Linked DNA regions of Elephas maximus indicus. The protein of the gene in region 1 purifies or fractionates together with the protein of each later gene. This does not show direct contact. Links are inferred from orthologs where the notes say so. Each region holds a gene or a part of one and is shown on either strand. Other genes may lie near its edges.

Region 1 (8,289 bases):
ATAAATTCGATGGGATCTTTTAAAAGAATGAGATCAATATAATACTTAAAAGGATAAGATACAATATGTGAATGATTTCAGAAGAGCTTATTTAATGATTTCCTTTTTTTGTAAAATAAATACACATGTGGGACATAATGTGGGATGGGGAAAAAAAGGTATACCTCAAATTGATGAACCTTAAGTTTCAGAGTTCGCTAAACCAAAAAAAAAAAAACTAAACCCACTGCCTGTGAATCGATTCCAACTCATAGCAACCCTAAAGGACAGACGAGAACTGCCCCATAGCGTTTCCAAGGAGCACCTGGTGGATTCAAACTGCTGACCTTTTGGTTTGCAGCCATAGTTCCTAACCACTACACCACCAGGGTTTCCTCAAAGTTGCATAGGAGAGAATTGACTTCTAAATTACACATTTTTGTATTGTTAGCCAAAAATTGCTATAAACTATATTTGTATATGGGTGAAACTGAAATATATGGGTGTTGAGAGGTGTAAGGATAAATCAGTGTTCACATCCCAACTGCAACTGTCCTGTGGAAATCTCAGAAAACCACTATTCTGTTACTAACTATGAAGATATAACAAATTCCCACTTTCCTTGTTCAGTTCTGATTCCAGCCACCCATATGGCACTTCTTTCTCTAACCCCAGCCACCTGGAGCTAGATAGATTTCACAACTTAAAAGGACACTGTCCTTTAGGCTGCCAAATAAGCACACACCAGATGAAAGCCTGGGGGTCTGCACCACACCCTTACTTCTGACTTGCTGGGCACAAAGTAGGGGTTTCCCCACTACCCCTTCAGGGAGCCAGCCGCAAGCTCAGGGGCCTCTCCTGGTCTCCCTCACTTTCACCTGCTGGCTCCCATTACTCCTTTGGGTTTGAAAATTTGCTGGAACAACTCACAGAAATTACTATCCTCACAATTACAGATTTGTTATCAAAAATAGACAGAAATCAGGATCAGCATAAAGAAGAGATGCCCAGGGCAAGGCTAGGGTGGGTTACCAACATGAAGCTTCCATGTTCCAAAACACATGCCACCCTCCCACATGTATCAATGTCTTTCATCAACCAGGACGCTCTTGGAACTTTTATGTCCACGGCCTTTACTGGCTTCATTGCATAGTCATGATTGGGGTCTCACTGAATATGCGTAATTGATTAAATCATACCACCCTCCCTCCCTCCCTGAGGTTAGCTGACCAGGTGGTCCTTGTGGCCTGGCCAGCCCCTTGACTCATTTGTACAAATCCTCAACTGTTGTCTGGAGGTTTTAGATAATAAAATCATCTTGATTACTCAGGAGATTCCAAGGGTTATCTCTCAGGAACCAAAGACAAAGGCCAAACTGAGTTCTTTGCCTCACAGGAGGGGAAGGTCCACAAGCACTAGATCCTCAATGTTCATAGTGGGAAGCATAGATAATGTCTAAAATTGAAAGGGGAAAAAAAAAGTTCAAGAAATAATAATACATAAACATATTGCTTAAAGATATGGTGGTAACACCAGAAGAAACAGGTGAGTCTAAAGTGTGTGCTCTGAGGAATGAAAACCTGGGTAAAGAGGAGTCAGGCAGGTTAAAATCCTGTTCTATTAACTGACTTTTAAAACTATAGGCATATATTATTTGAAATAAAGGTTAAACATAAAAGAAGATTCTACAAGTCACCTTCAAAGGAGAAAAGTCTATTACTGAAAAACAGATTCTAAGTCCTAATTTATGTTAAAAGCAAGCAAACAAAAAACGCCAAGCTACTAGGACTTTCAGACAACTATATAGCTCAATATGCCAACAATATGAATACATCATACTAGCTAGTCAGAGCCCTGGTGGTGCAGTGGTCAAGAGCTCAGCTGCTAACCAAAAGGTCGGCAGTTCAAATCCACCAGCCACTCCCTGGAAACCCTAGGGGGCGGTTCTGCTGTGTCCTACAGGGTCACTATTAGAACTGACTCTATTCTCGATTGCACCTATCAAGAACAACTAGTCAGTCTGGTCAATATATTTTGTTTTGTTTTTTACAAATGTGCCAGTCACAGCTCTACGCATAATGTAAGGGGAAGAAAACACAATAAACTCACAAATAAGAGAATTTTAGAATTTGATAAATGGTATGAAGATGACACAAGGAAATATGCCAAAGAATGACTGTGAAGGAGAGGGACACACCGGTTTTAGCTATAGTGGACAGGGAAGGCCTCTATGTGGAGGAGACATTTGAGTGAGACTCCAAAATAAGAAGGAATCAGTCATGCTACGTTCTGGGAGGGGAATGAATTTAATGTGTTAAAGGGACAGAAAGGTCAGTGTGGTGGAATATAGTGAACCAGGGGTAGAATCGAAAAGATGAAGTTTGAAAAGATCAGGAGAGTTTAGATGTTTTACAAAGGAGTGGCTATACTGTTGAGTCACAGAATGTATGCTGAATATGGCTTAAGTTTCTTAAATCAATGTGAGTTAAGCAAAAAAGCTATATAAATAATTTAAATATAATGCAACACACATTATTGCTAATGCTAGTGAAAGCCTTTCATGGTAACTCTGTCAGCAGAAAATAGACGGAACAGATGGGCAGTACTTGTCCTTTATATAACAACAAAGTTTATGTAGCAAAAATAATGTACAGTTTCTTCTTCACTTCAGTTTCATTTAATGGAACAACAAACTGGTTCAATCCCAGAGTTCTATCTTAGAAAACAATATCCCAATTCTATCGTCTCTGAAAATGACATAACTTATTAGCAGAGATCAAGAGTACTAAAACGGTCATCTATCAGCTCATAATACATTTTCAAAGAGACTTGAGAGAAATGACCCAAAGTGTAACTCACTTTTTTAATGGCGACAATTTGATTGGTGTTCTTGTCTCTGGCCTTGTAAACTGTGGCGAACTAGACAGAAAACAGAAATAACATATGAGTTTATGGAGTTTTCTTGTAATTGCCTTTTTACTTTTTTACATTTTGGGAAGCACAGGGCCGCTAGAAATGTGGTGGGATACTCCACGTCTGTTCTTCGGAAGGGAGGGGGCTGCTCAGGGGTCACCTCTAGGGTGTAAAGAGAAGGGTAGCACGCGCGGCTGGGCCGCCTCCACCAAGGAGAACAAGCAGCCAGGCCAGTCCGCTGGTCCCACGCGAAAATCCGCGAGGGTCTGAGGCGGCACTGTGCTCTCCGCTCCGGGCCCTCCCAATCCCAGCACGAGACCCTCACCTGTCCCTCTCCGAGAAAGTCCAGTTTCTCATAACGCTTTGCTCGCGACTTCACGTCCAAAGCCATTCGGCGCGTGAAGCCTGACTCCGAAAACGTAAGGCTCCAAAAACCAAGCGAATTTAAAGCTACCTCAGAGGCTCCCACAGCCTCTTCCGTTCACTGGACTCCCACACTGTAGTAGCCCCGCCCCACTTCCGGGATGGGCGGGGTACTGCTAAGTGGATACCAGCGGGGTCCGCCCTCCGGAAGCTGCATGAGACCCGGCTGATTGGCTGGGCTGTACCGCCCCCGCCTTGCGACGTAGTCTACTCCGGGTTCCGCGAAAGGAGTGTATCTGATGGTGGCTGTTTGCGTCACCCTTTTACAGTTCTTAATTTGGGTCTTTTCTTAGCTACTGGAGACAGGTCGGCGTTCGGATTTGGTGTTCTCAGTTCGGAATTTGGTAGGTGTGTGTGAGTGTGGGAGGCTTGTCCTTTTCCTTGATCTCCCTTTGTAGCTAGTTCATGATCGTGTATGGCCTCGCCACGGTTGCTATGGACGCCAAGCTCCGCGATCACAGGTTACTTAACCAGGTGTCACTTTCTTAGGGACTGGTCTAGAGGCATTCTTAGTCCAGTTCATTTATAAAGCAGGTCTAAAAATTCAACTCAGTTGAAACGTGCTGTGATCCTCAATTCTCTACCCTTTAAACTGGAAATCATAATAGACTACATCATAGGATGGTGAGGATTAGATGAAACACTTAGAAAGTTTAGACACGTAAGTGCTCTGTGTGTTATCTGTGATAAATACCCAACTTCTAGATCCCTATCAATTTTCATACAAATCAACAAAATAAAGTTAACATATTAACTCATTGAAATAATATGTAATTGAGTGCTTACTATGTGCCAGGCACTGGTGTAGACTTTGAGAAATCAGCAAGGAACAAAACAAAAATCAGCATTCCAGTGGGAGAAACAGGTAATAAGCAAAATATGTTAAGATACTTAGTGATAAGTGCTATGGAGATAATAAGGGAGTGTTATTTTAAATAGGGTGGTTGAGGAAAAACATCATGAAAAGCCATTGGAGGATTTTGAGTAGATAAAAGATATGATCCGACTTCTTTTAAAAGGTTTACTTTGGTTGTTGTGAGAGACTAGATTTAGAGGAGCAAGGTCTGTTAGAGAATTTCAGATTCTCATGGAATCCAGACTTCTGGGCCACTGAGCCTGGGTGAAGCCTTGAAACTATTGTCCTAAGATAACCTTTAAACCTAAATTATAATCCCCTGAAGTCTTCTTCAAACCAAACAACAGGTTAGCTTACTCAGAAAGAATGTCTGCCTTCAGCATTGTGCTCTTTTAAAAAAACTATATGGGATCAAATTGACAACAGCAACTCCAGAGGTTAAATAGGAAGTTTAGGGAGCAGTGACTTCATGTCAATGGGGGAGGAACAATTCAGAAAAGGAGAGTGAGAATGGTTGCACAACTTGAAGAATGTAATCATTGTCACTGAATTGTAGATGTAGAAATTGTTGAATTGGTGTATTGCTGTGTATACTTTCAAGAATAAAAAAATAAAGTAGTAATTTAAAAAAGGTCTCTTAAAGAGTTATTACAGTAATCCAGATGGCTGGTTTGGTTTTTAGCAGATAAGATTTATAGATACACTGGATATTGGAGGGGGGCGATTTTAAGGTTTTGAGCTTGAGCTGCTATAAAGATGGAAAGGTTTACCCCCTTGTCTTTGCATTTGATGTTTCTAGGAGTTAAGAATGCTATCTTCAGAGATGTGTTGAAGAAGGCAGCAGAATTACCAAGGGTAATTTTGTAGTCGAGGTAGTATAGTGTAGAGGCTGAGTTCTTACTTTGAAACCAGACTGTTTGCAATTTAATACTGTCCTCACCAGTATTCAATCACTAGATGTTTGACTTGGGGAAATTACTAAACTTTTCTGTGCCTAGTTTCTTCTCTGTAATAGGACTGGCTTATAGTGTGTTCATACTTATAAAAGCCCTTAGTGTCTGACAGCTGAGTGCTCAGTTTATATTGACCATTCCTGTCATTGGTCACCTTTAAGCCCTTTGTCACTACTTGGGTTTTTATTGAGCTGATGCACTCAGGCATAATTTCTTGTATTACAGAAGACATACCAACTTTAACACTGCTAACTCTTTTACTTGTGGCAAGTAATACCTCGTGATGCATGGTGTCACATGACTAGGTCAAAGTTCCTTCTGACAGACATCACTGTAACAGTAATCTACCTAAACTTGAAGCAGAAATAAGCTAAATAATGAGCTAAATTTGATGGTGCACCTGTGAGGCTCCCAAGCGTACTGTGGTATAGGAGTTCATAACTGCAGCATTATAACCATGCTACTAAGTAAATTCCTATTTGGGGACATTTTAGATGATATTCTGGGGTAATGTGGTCATATGTATAAAATACTGTTCAGCATTTGTATATCATTTTGCATTTTACAAAGTGCTTTCACGTATCTGTAGTAGCCAGCTTCCAAGATGGCCTCCGGTGATCTTTGCCTTCTGGTATTAATGCACTTGTGTAGTCTTCTCCCGCAGCAAAACAGACTGTGTGACCAGTGAAGTATGGCAGAAGTGACTTTGTGTGACTTCTGAGGATGGGTCATAAAAGGCATTGCTACTTCTACCTTGCATGCTGTGGAGGAAGTCAGCCACCATATGAATTCACTCAGTCCTGTGGAGAGGCCTACATGGAAAGAACTGAAGCTTCCTGCTAATGACCAGCACCAACTTGCTAGCCATATGACTGAGCCACCTTGGGCATTTATCATCTAGCCCCAGCCAAGCCTTCATATGACTGCAGCCCCAGGTGGCATCTGATTGCAGCCTCACAAGACACTAAGAACTGTCCAGCCAAACTGCTCCTGTGTTTCTCTGTGTCAGAAGTGTGCTAGGGATTGAATTGTGTCCCCCTCCCCCCACCAAATATGTGTTGAAATCCTAACCACTGTACCTGTAGATAAGACCCTGTTTGAAAATAGGGGGTTTTCTTTTGTTATGTTAATGTCATGCCAATATAGGCTGAATCCTATACCTAATCACTTTGAGTTATAAAAAGACCAGAATAGATAAGACACACACACACACTCAGAAGACAGACACCAAGGAACACCAAGGAATGCCAAGGATTGCTGGTACACACCAGAAACTGAAGGGCTCAGAGAAGGAACTGACACAGCTGAGATCCTGATTTGGACTTTTAGTCTCCAAAACTGTGAGAAAATAAAATTCTGTTCTTTAAAACCACCTATCTGTGGTATTTGTGTCACAGCAGCACTAGGTAACCAAGTCAAAGTGATTATTGTTGTTTTAAGTTCACTCCATCAGTTTCTGTCTACAGGATCAATAATAGATTCCAAAAAAAAACAAAAAAAAAATGGTCCTGGGCTTCCTTTCACTGAAATAAAAAAACTAAGGGGTATAAAATAAAATTGTAAGTTTTGCTTTATGAAAACAGAGGTCTCTTGTCCATGACACTAAAGGTTATCTTACTAAATGTTAGAAACCTATGTGTTGTGTAATTATATATATTTATATATATATCTTAAAGCTTATAGTTATGCCTTGAACTGTAACTAACTTTTAGAAGCAGCTTGTTGAGTTTCACATAATTGTATTTAGGTGATCAGGCTCACTGAACCACTTGAAATTTGATTCTTTCAGAAAACAATTAAAGATTAATGGACAAGTCCTGTTTCCAAGACTCCAGAGGTCTTAAAGCCATGGCTCACTGATCTGTGATTGTCTTAGTACGGTTTCTATCTAAGCTTTGACAATGTTTGAGCACATACTGCTCTCTTATAAGATCTACGTATTCTGATATAATCTCAGCTGGTAACAATTTTTCTTCAAAATTCCTGATGAAATTATATATAAGTACCCTGAAAATCTTTTACTTAACTGGAGCACTGATGTACTGAGTAATGACATGTTGCCCAACTTTAAAGTTGTCTATTAAACCTGCACAGCAATCTGTTAATGGCGGTCTGAGTTATTTATTTTGACAGGGGAAAAAAGAATAATGCTAGTTAGAAAAAAAAAATGCTTTTCCAAAAACATTTTTTAAATAATAAAAAGGAATTACGAACCATATATTTTTCATGAGTTACCATTACAACTTATGTTATCAACATACTGCAAGCATCAAACCCTTATCTGATATTTGAGTTGGGCAACACTTACAGTGGGCCACAATACAGAATTTACACCAGCAGCAGTTCAACACTGGCAGGATACAGGAAAGTATAGATTAACTCACAGAATATAGAAATGTATTCAACAACAATTCTACTTTGTCTATTGCTCATGAGCTACCCTTACTATTGACTTCTTTAAGGCATATTCTAAAAATCACCAAAGGTATGTAAGAGAATTCATTTGGCTTTGTGAGGCTTTACTTTCACAATACATACCCTTGGGGCAGGAAAACCTTATTAAATTTTCACAAATTACCTTAAATAAGATAAGTATTAAGTTGATTTTATGAGGCTTTCAGAAACGTTTGAGAAAGTTACTGGTTATCAGGATTTGCACACGTGATCACATGAAAACAATAAAATAAACCAAAGAACAAGACTTTTTAACAGCCCTCAAAACTTAATAAATTACAATTTCTAGTCAAACGTTTATTCCTATGCTGTGGTCATTTTGGCCTCGATTTATTTTCCATTTTGTACTCTTTGACATTTTTTCTGAGTATAGGTTACAAACAATCTTTTGTGTTATCTCCAATCTCAGTACCAAAAAGTCACCTGTTTTACCTTGGCTATGTTCTTACCCTTTACAGTAGGATACACTTACTAAGCTAGCTATATTCCAGTAACTCTGTGAATGAAAAATGTTACAGGATCAAAAACAAATAATGGAGTAGTATTTCACTGATCCTCATCCAATCTCAGGAAAATCACTTCCCTAAAGCAGCAATTTTGCCTGATAAATTCTCTCTAAATAGAAACCAGAAAAAATGTGTAATTATAGGAAACCTCTGAAAGTTTACTAGACATCGTGTGCTTTTAATAGTTCAACACTGGTAATACTTA
Region 2 (7,835 bases), on another chromosome or scaffold:
CACAGCCATTGCTACATTTGAGCTCACGGTTGCAGCCACTGTGTTAATCCACCTCATCGAAGGTCTTCTTCTTTTTCAATGACCCTCTACTTTCCCAAGCATGTCCTTCTCCAGGGTCTGGTCCCTCCTGATAACATGTCCAAAGTAAGTGAGACAAAGTCTCGCCATCCTTGCTTCTAAGGAGCACTCTGGCTGTAGTTCTTCCAAGACAGATTCGTTTGTTCTTCTGGCGGTCCGTGGTATGGCCGACATTCTTCGCCAACACCATAATTCAAACGCATCAATTCTTCTTTGGTCTTCTTTATTCATTGCCCAGTTTTCGCATGCATATGAGGCAACTGAAAATACCATGGCTTGGGTCAGGTGCACTTTACTCCTTAAAGTGCCATCTTTGCCTTTTAACGCGTTAAAAATATATGTAATGTAATTAAGGTCAGCATCAGTTGCTGTCCAGCTGATTCTGACTCATGGCACCCCCATGTGTATCCGAGTGCAACTCTGCTCCACAAGGTTTTCAATGGCTGATTTTTCAGATGCAGGTCACCAGGCCTTTCTTCTGAGGCGCCTCTGGGCGGACTTGAACCTCTAACCTTTTGGTTAGCAGCCAAGCGTGTTAATCATTTGCACAACCCAGGGATTCCTAATTTAATGAAATGAACTTCCATAATCTTATCTAATCTAATGTAATTAATCAATCAATTGAGGTCATATCAGTGCAAGATAGAGCCTAAACCTAATCACCCCTGAGTTATAAAAAGACCAGAATAGACACAGCAACTCACACACACACAGGGGAAGATAGATGACGTGTGAGAATCACCTACAAGTAAAGGAACATCAAGAATCGCTAGCATACACCAGAACTGTAAGAGACCTTCGCAGAAGGAATCGACATGGCCAAGACCCTGACCTGGGCTTTTCGCCTCCAGAACTGTGAGAAAATAAATAGCTGTTCTTTAAAGCCGCCCAATTGTGGTATTTCTGTTATGGCAGCACGAGGAAACTAAGACACCCCGGCTCACCTTCTCAATCTCGGGCACAGTCCTCGAGCAGTAGATGAGTTTGGTCACCTCCAGCGGATATGCCTGCCAATGACAAGCAGGCTCAGCCCCCACCCAGCCTCTACCCGATACCCTCTCCATGGGCCCAGTGGGTCACTTACCCGCTGGTACGCCATGATCAGAGCCAACAGAGACACTGTCTTCCCAGTGCCCGAGGGCATCTCCAGGACTCCATGACCCTATGCGTTGGGGGTAGGAGGGACAAGATACAGGCTCTCAGAACCTTGGGGGCACAATCTCTAGGGATGCTGCCCCCCTCCCTCCAAGAAGACTGCCATCAGCACAGTAGTTAATAGTTTGGACCCGGGAGGGGAGAGGGGTTGAATCCTACTTCTGCCACCTCTTTACTGAGTGGTTTCAGGCAAGTGCCTTCACCTCTCTGGACCTCAGTATCCTCATCTCTAAAATGGGTCCATAAAGGTCTTCCTCATATCATGATTGTGAAGATTAACGACAAATTGTAAGCTAATGATTTACCATGGTATCTGATATATAGTGAGCCCATTTTTTCCTGCAGCTTAGCAAACACTTCCACAGCACTTCCTTGGTGCCTGGCACTGCTGTAGATGCCTCATATCCTGCTCTACTGACATCTGGGGCCGGATAATACTTAGCTGTGGGGCAGCTGTCCTTGCACTGTGGAATGTTTGGCAGCGTCCCTGGCTTCTACCCACTAGAAACAATAGCGCCCCACCCCACAACTAGTATGGCGAGGAAGAATATCTCTAGACATTGCCAATTGTTCTCCGGGGGTCAAAATCCACCCCTGCCTTACTGTATTAATCCATTTCACCCTCACGACAACCTATGAGGTAGGCATTATTAAAAGCAGTTGTCCTCAAGTAGACTCTGACTCATGCCGACCCTGTGTGTATCCCGGTAGCACTGTGCTTCACAGGGTTTTCAATGGCTGACTTTTTGGAAGTAGGTCACCAGGCCTTTCTCCCAGGGTGCCTCTGGGTGCACTTGAACCTCCAATTTTTCAGTTAGACAGCTGAGCAAGTCACCTATTTGCACCACCCAGGGACTTCAAGTACTGTACTATTACTATGTCCCTTTTACAGGGGCACCAGAACAGGGAGGTTAATAACTTGCCCAAGGTCACACAGCTGGTAGACTGTGAATCCGGGGTTTCAATCCAGGGAGCCAGCTCCAGTGTCTATGGATCTCTACGCACCGGGATGTCTGGCCTTTAATAAATGTTGCTGCTAAGTGCTATGGAGTTCTGACTCATAGCGACCCTATGTACAACAGAACGAAAACTACCTGATCCTATGCCATTCTCAGAATCGTTGCTATGCTTGACCTAATAAATATTAAAAAAAAAAAAAAACTTTTTTTTTTTTTTTTTTAGCTACTATTATTAACTGGAAGTCCTGGTGGCACAGTGGTTAAGAGCTCGGCTGCTAACCAAAAGGTTGACAGTTATAATCCACCACCAGCTTCTTGAAAACCCCACGGAGCAGTTCTACTCTGTCCTATAGGGTCCCTATGAGTCGAAATCAACGGCAACGGGTATTATTAACTATTATTATTTCAGATGGCAGGTGGCTTTGGAGTCCTAGATTCCCAAGGACCTCAGGTTTCTAAAATCCTGGGGTCTTGGCTATCTAGACGTCCTCCAACCTCAGTCGCAGACCCACGCGTGACGGCCCCACCTGTTAAGCAGGCAGCGGCCGCCCGGCCTACTCACTTTGGCATCCAGAGTGCGTTTGAGCTCCAGCATGTAGGAGAACTGCTCCGGGTAGATGTAGTCGTAGGGGAAATAGACCAGCAGGCCGTCCACGTTGAGCCTATTGGTGGGGGCTGCTGGGTCAGTGTCCTCCCCCTCAGGCCCCCTCCAAGCCCCCGCGCTCTCCGGCCGTCGAGCCAAGGGCAGTTACCTGCCGGTCCCCCCGGGTATCCCGCCAGTTCCCAAGGAGCCTCCGGGTCTCCCCGCTGACCATCCCCGTTACCACCCCGCCGGCCCCGCGGTTACCCCATCCCATCTCTTCAGCCACCCCTCGCCCTGCTGGGGACCCCACACGCTCCCCCCCATCTTTCAGCCCCCTGCGGCCGTTCTCCAGCCGCGGTCCCCGGCCCCACTCTCACTTCATGGCGCCGGCCAAGGCGTGCAGCGGCGTCGATCCGCCTCCCTCATGAATATTCAGCGAGAGACCGGGTCCGTGGGACGTCCGCCCCACCTTCCTCACGATCCCACTGGCTGATCCCGCCCGTGACGCTACTGGGGCGGAGCCAGTGGGAATACTGCGCGCATGCGCAAGGCCTGAGCAGGCGGGCTCCGGAGAGATAGGCGGTGCCCAAGGCGTCGCTGAGGATCACCGAGGACAAAGAACAAAACATGGAAGGAGGAGAGCCGAGAGAATCGATCTCACCCAAAACATTCGTTTTCCAGCATCTGCCAAAGTGTCACAGCAGAGAATAGAGACTAGAAGAAAATAACAGGGAAATTGGAGACTCCTTGGTGGCCCACATGTTAGGAATGGCTTAACTGCATCAGACGAGCATACATTTATAAAGTTCCTGCTGTGTCCTAGACTCCTGTGGAATAAATAACTATCCATTTATTGAGCACCTACTATTTGCCAGATACTGTCGCTATGAGTTGGAATCAACTTGATGGCAGTGGGTTTGGTGGGTTTTTTTGTGGTTTGGTACAAGCCTTTAGAGGACCCCTGGTGATGTAGTGTTTAAACGCTCAGCTGTTAATGGTTGCAACCCACCAGCCACTCCGCAGGAGGAAGATGTGGCAATCTTAAAGATCGCAGCCTTGGAAACCCTATGGGACAGTTCTGCTATGTCCATTAGGGTTACTATGAAGCGGGACTTACTCGATGGCAACGGGTTATGGGGTTATGAATTACCGGGAGACCTCGTTAAAATGCCGATTCGGATTGTTGAGGCGGGAGTGGGCCTGAGATTCCGCATTTCTTATCCACTCCCAGGAGGTGTCAGTGATCTGGTCTTCAGACTACACTGTGAGTTGTGAAGGTCTACACTTTCTCTTAGCACTCCCCAGTGGGACTGAGCCCCAGTTGTCTAAAATACCTTTTCAGAAGCTTTCTTCTGGTCTCACTTTTCCACTCCCTCTAAAAGCAGTCACCTTCCAAATAAACTGTTGTTATTAGCTGCCGTTGAGTTGGCCCCCAACATTGGCAACCCCGTCCACGAAGGAACTAAACGCTGCCTGGTCCTGCATCACCCCCATAATCAGTGGTAGATGAAACTGTTGTGATTCACAAGGTTTTCACTGACTGATTTTTATATCCATAGAATTTATTCTATTTTTGTTGTTGTTGTTGAGAATATACACAGCAGAGCATATACAAATTCAACAATTTCTACAGGTACAATTCAGTGACATTGATAACATTCTCCAAGTTGTGCAGCCATTCTCAAGCTCCTTTTCTGAATTATTTCTCCCCCAGTAACACAAGCTCATTGCCTCCTAAGTTTCTGCATCTAATCTTCCAAGTTGCTGTTGTCAATTTGATCCCATATAGATAGATATTAAAAGTGCACAATGCTCAGAGCAGACATTCTTTACTAGTTAACCTATTGTCTGTCTTGAAGAAGGTGACAGGTTATTTTTGTTTTAAGGTTTAAAGTTTATCTCAAGGCAATAGTTTCAGGGCTTCATCCAGCCTCCATGGATCCAGGAAGTCCGGATTCCATGACAATTTGAAATTCTGTCCTGCATTTCCCCTCTTTTGATCAGAATTCTTCTACAGAATCTTTGATCAAAATGTTCACTAATGATAACTGGGTAGCATTCAGTTCTTCTGGTCTCAGGGCAAAGGAGTCATTGGCTGATATTTGGAAGTAGATTGCCAGGCCTTTCTTCGTAGCCCATCTTAGTCTGGAAGTTCTGCTGAAACCTGCTTAGCATCATAGCACCATACAAGCCTCAGTGACAGCCTCCACTGTGGTGGCTGCACATGAGGTACATTGGCAGGGCATTGAATCGAATCGGGTTTCCTGCATGGAAGGTGAGAATTCTACCACTGCATCACCAATGTCTCATCCCAATAAACTACATGTTCTCAAAAATAGAAAAAGGACTTTGCAGATGTGATGAAGTTCAGAATGTTAAGATGGGGAGATGATCCTGGATTATCCAGGGGGGCCCTCAACATAATCACAAGAGCTCTTCTAAGAGATTCCCCAGCAGGAAAGAGACAGAAGGCAATGTGACCACTGAAGCAAGATGCTACCCAGACGGCTCTGAAGATGGAAGAAGGCATCACAAGCCAAGGAATGTAAGGAATGAAATCCTGGAGGCTAGAAAGGGCAAGGAAACAGATTCTCCCCTAGAGACCCTGGAAGTAGCTCAGCTCTATTGCCATCTTGATCTCGGCCCAGTGAGATTGATTTTGGACTTCTGGCCTCCAGAAAGGTAAGAGGATAAATGTGTGATGTTTTACACCACCAAGTTTATGGTAACCCCTCCTGCTTTAGTTTCTTTCCGTAACAGTGATCACCATCTGATATAACAGCTATTTTGCTTTTTTTTTTTTTTTGTCTATTTCCTTCCCTGACTGGAATGTCAGCTCTACAAAAGCAGGGACTTTTTTTTTTCTTAATTGTAAAAAATACATGTAACACAACATTTGCCAGTTCAATGTTTTATCTGTGTACAGTTTAGTGACGCCAGTTACATTAATTGTGTTGTGCAGCCATCACCAGTATCCATTGTCAAATTTTCCATCACCATCACAGAAACTCAATGCTCCCTAAGCAATGACTCCCTCTTTCCCCCTCTCTCCTGTCCCTCGGAACCACTAATAAACTTTGGTCTCTATAGTTGCCTATTCTAGAGAGCTCATATAAGTGAGATCATACAAATATTTGCCCTTTCATGATTGACTAATTTCACTCAGCATGTTTTCAAGGTTCATCCATGTTGTGGCGTGCATCAGGACTTCATTTCTATTCACGGCTGGGTGGTATTCCACTGTGTGTATGTACCACATTTTGTTTCTCCATTCATGTATTGATGGATATTTTGGTTGTTTCCACCTTTTGGCTATTGTGAAAAGTGCTGCAATGAACATTGATGTACAGGTTTCTGTGTGTTCCTGCCTTTGCTTCTTCTGGAATATAGCTAGGATTGAGATTACCAGGTCATACGGTAGTTCTATGTTCAGTTTTTTAAGGAACTGCCAAAGAATGCGAAGAATGGAAATTCCAGAACACTTAATTGTGCTCATGAGGAACCTTTACACAGATCAAGAGGCAGTTGTTCAGACAGAACAAGGGGATACTGACTGGTCTAAAGTTAGGAAAAGTGTATGTCAGGGTTGTATTCTTTCACCATACCTATTCAATCTGTATGCTGAGCAAATAATACGAGAAGCTGGACCATATGAAGAATGGGGCATCAGGATTGGAGGAAGACTCATTAACAACCTGCGTTATGCAGATGACACAACCTTGCTTGCTGAAAGTGAAGAGTACTTGAAGCACTTACTAATGAAGATCAAAGACCACAGACTTCAGTATGGATTACACCTCAACATAAAGAAAACAAAAAGCCTCCCAACTGGACCAATGAGCAACATCATGATAAGCAGAGAAAAGATTGAAGTTGTCAAGGATTTCGTTTTACTTGGATCCACAATCAACTGCCATGGAAGCAGCAGTTGAGAAATCGAAAGATGCATTGCATTGGGCAAATCTGCTGCAAAGGACCTCTCAAAAGTGTTGAAGAGCAAAGATGTCACCTTGAAGATTAAGGTGCACCTGACCCAAGCCATGGTATTTTCAATCACATCGTATGCGTGTGAAAGCTGGACAATGAATAAGGAAGACCGAAGAAGAATTGATGCCTTTGAATTGTGGTGTTGGTGAGGAATATTGAATATACCATGGACTCCCAAAAGAATGAACAAATCTGTCTTGGAAGAAGTACAACCAGAATGCTCCTTAGAAGCAAGGATGGCGAGACTGCATCTTACACACTTTGGACATGTTGTCAGGAGGGATCAATCCCTGGAGAAGGACATCATGCTTGGCAAAGTACAAGGTCAGTGGAAAAGAGGAAGACCCTCAACGAGGTGGATTGACACAGTGGCTGCAACAATGGACCCAAGCATAATGATTGTAAAGATGGTGCAGGACCGGGCAGTGTTTCGTTCTGTTGTGCATGGGGTCGCTATGGGTTGGAACTGACTCGGCAGCACCTAACAAGAACAACAGCCAAACTGTTTTTCACAGGAGCTGCACCGTTTTACATTCCCATCAGTGATGGAGTTGTCTTAGGCTAGGCTCTCTAGAGAAGCAAAACCAATGCAGCATATAAATATATAGAGAGATTTATATAATGGAAATTGTTCATGTGGCTGTACAGGGTAGAAAGTCTCAAGTTCATGGGTTAAGACGGAGGCTTCTCCTGACTCACGTAGTCACAGGGGGCTGGCAAATCCAAGATCAGAAGATCAGATAGGAGGCCTCTGGCTCACAGGCTGTGGAGGCTGACAAATCCCAAGACTGGCAGGTAAGACAGCAGGTAAACTGCTAGCTCAAGTCCCAAGAACCAAAGGTCAGACAAACAGGAACCAGCTGCATGATCCATAGTTTGCAAAAACCAGTGAGCCTTGCCCGAAAGTCCTCCTATATTGGATACAGGCCACACCCCCAAGAAAAATCCCTTTCAACTGATTGGCTGCGCACAACAGATCTCATCATGGAGGTGATCATATTACGTCAAATCTCATTATGGAGGTGATTACATCATTAAAAAGCTGCCAAGCTACATCATAACTGCCAAACCAC

Evidence for each region. The genes of interacting proteins can lie anywhere in the genome.
Region 2: the proteins of CDK7 (region 1) and ERCC2 purify together in Homo sapiens (affinity purification with mass spectrometry; 10 studies listed by BioGRID and IntAct, counting the BioPlex papers as one, with this or other methods). This does not show direct contact. The link is inferred for Elephas maximus indicus from reciprocal best matches to the Homo sapiens genes CDK7 and ERCC2.

The regions. Positions count from the first base shown.
Region 1 is NC_064820.1:74,677,542-74,685,830, reverse strand, and holds the start of CDK7 (cyclin-dependent kinase 7), read right to left. Parts: upstream 3,395-8,289; 5' UTR 3,284-3,394; coding exon 3,218-3,283; intron 2,899-3,217; coding exon 2,839-2,898; intron 1-2,838. UniProt on the Homo sapiens protein: Serine/threonine kinase involved in cell cycle control and in RNA polymerase II-mediated RNA transcription. Cyclin-dependent kinases (CDKs) are activated by the binding to a cyclin and mediate the progression through the cell cycle.
Region 2 is NC_064829.1:104,342,017-104,349,851, reverse strand, and holds the start of ERCC2 (general transcription and DNA repair factor IIH helicase subunit XPD), read right to left. Parts: upstream 3,237-7,835; 5' UTR 3,158-3,236; coding exon 3,153-3,157; intron 3,007-3,152; exon of another isoform or gene 2,945-3,006; intron 2,855-2,944; coding exon 2,755-2,854; intron 1,241-2,754; coding exon 1,163-1,240; intron 1,086-1,162; coding exon 1,023-1,085; intron 1-1,022. UniProt on the Homo sapiens protein: ATP-dependent 5'-3' DNA helicase. Component of the general transcription and DNA repair factor IIH (TFIIH) core complex, not absolutely essential for minimal transcription in vitro.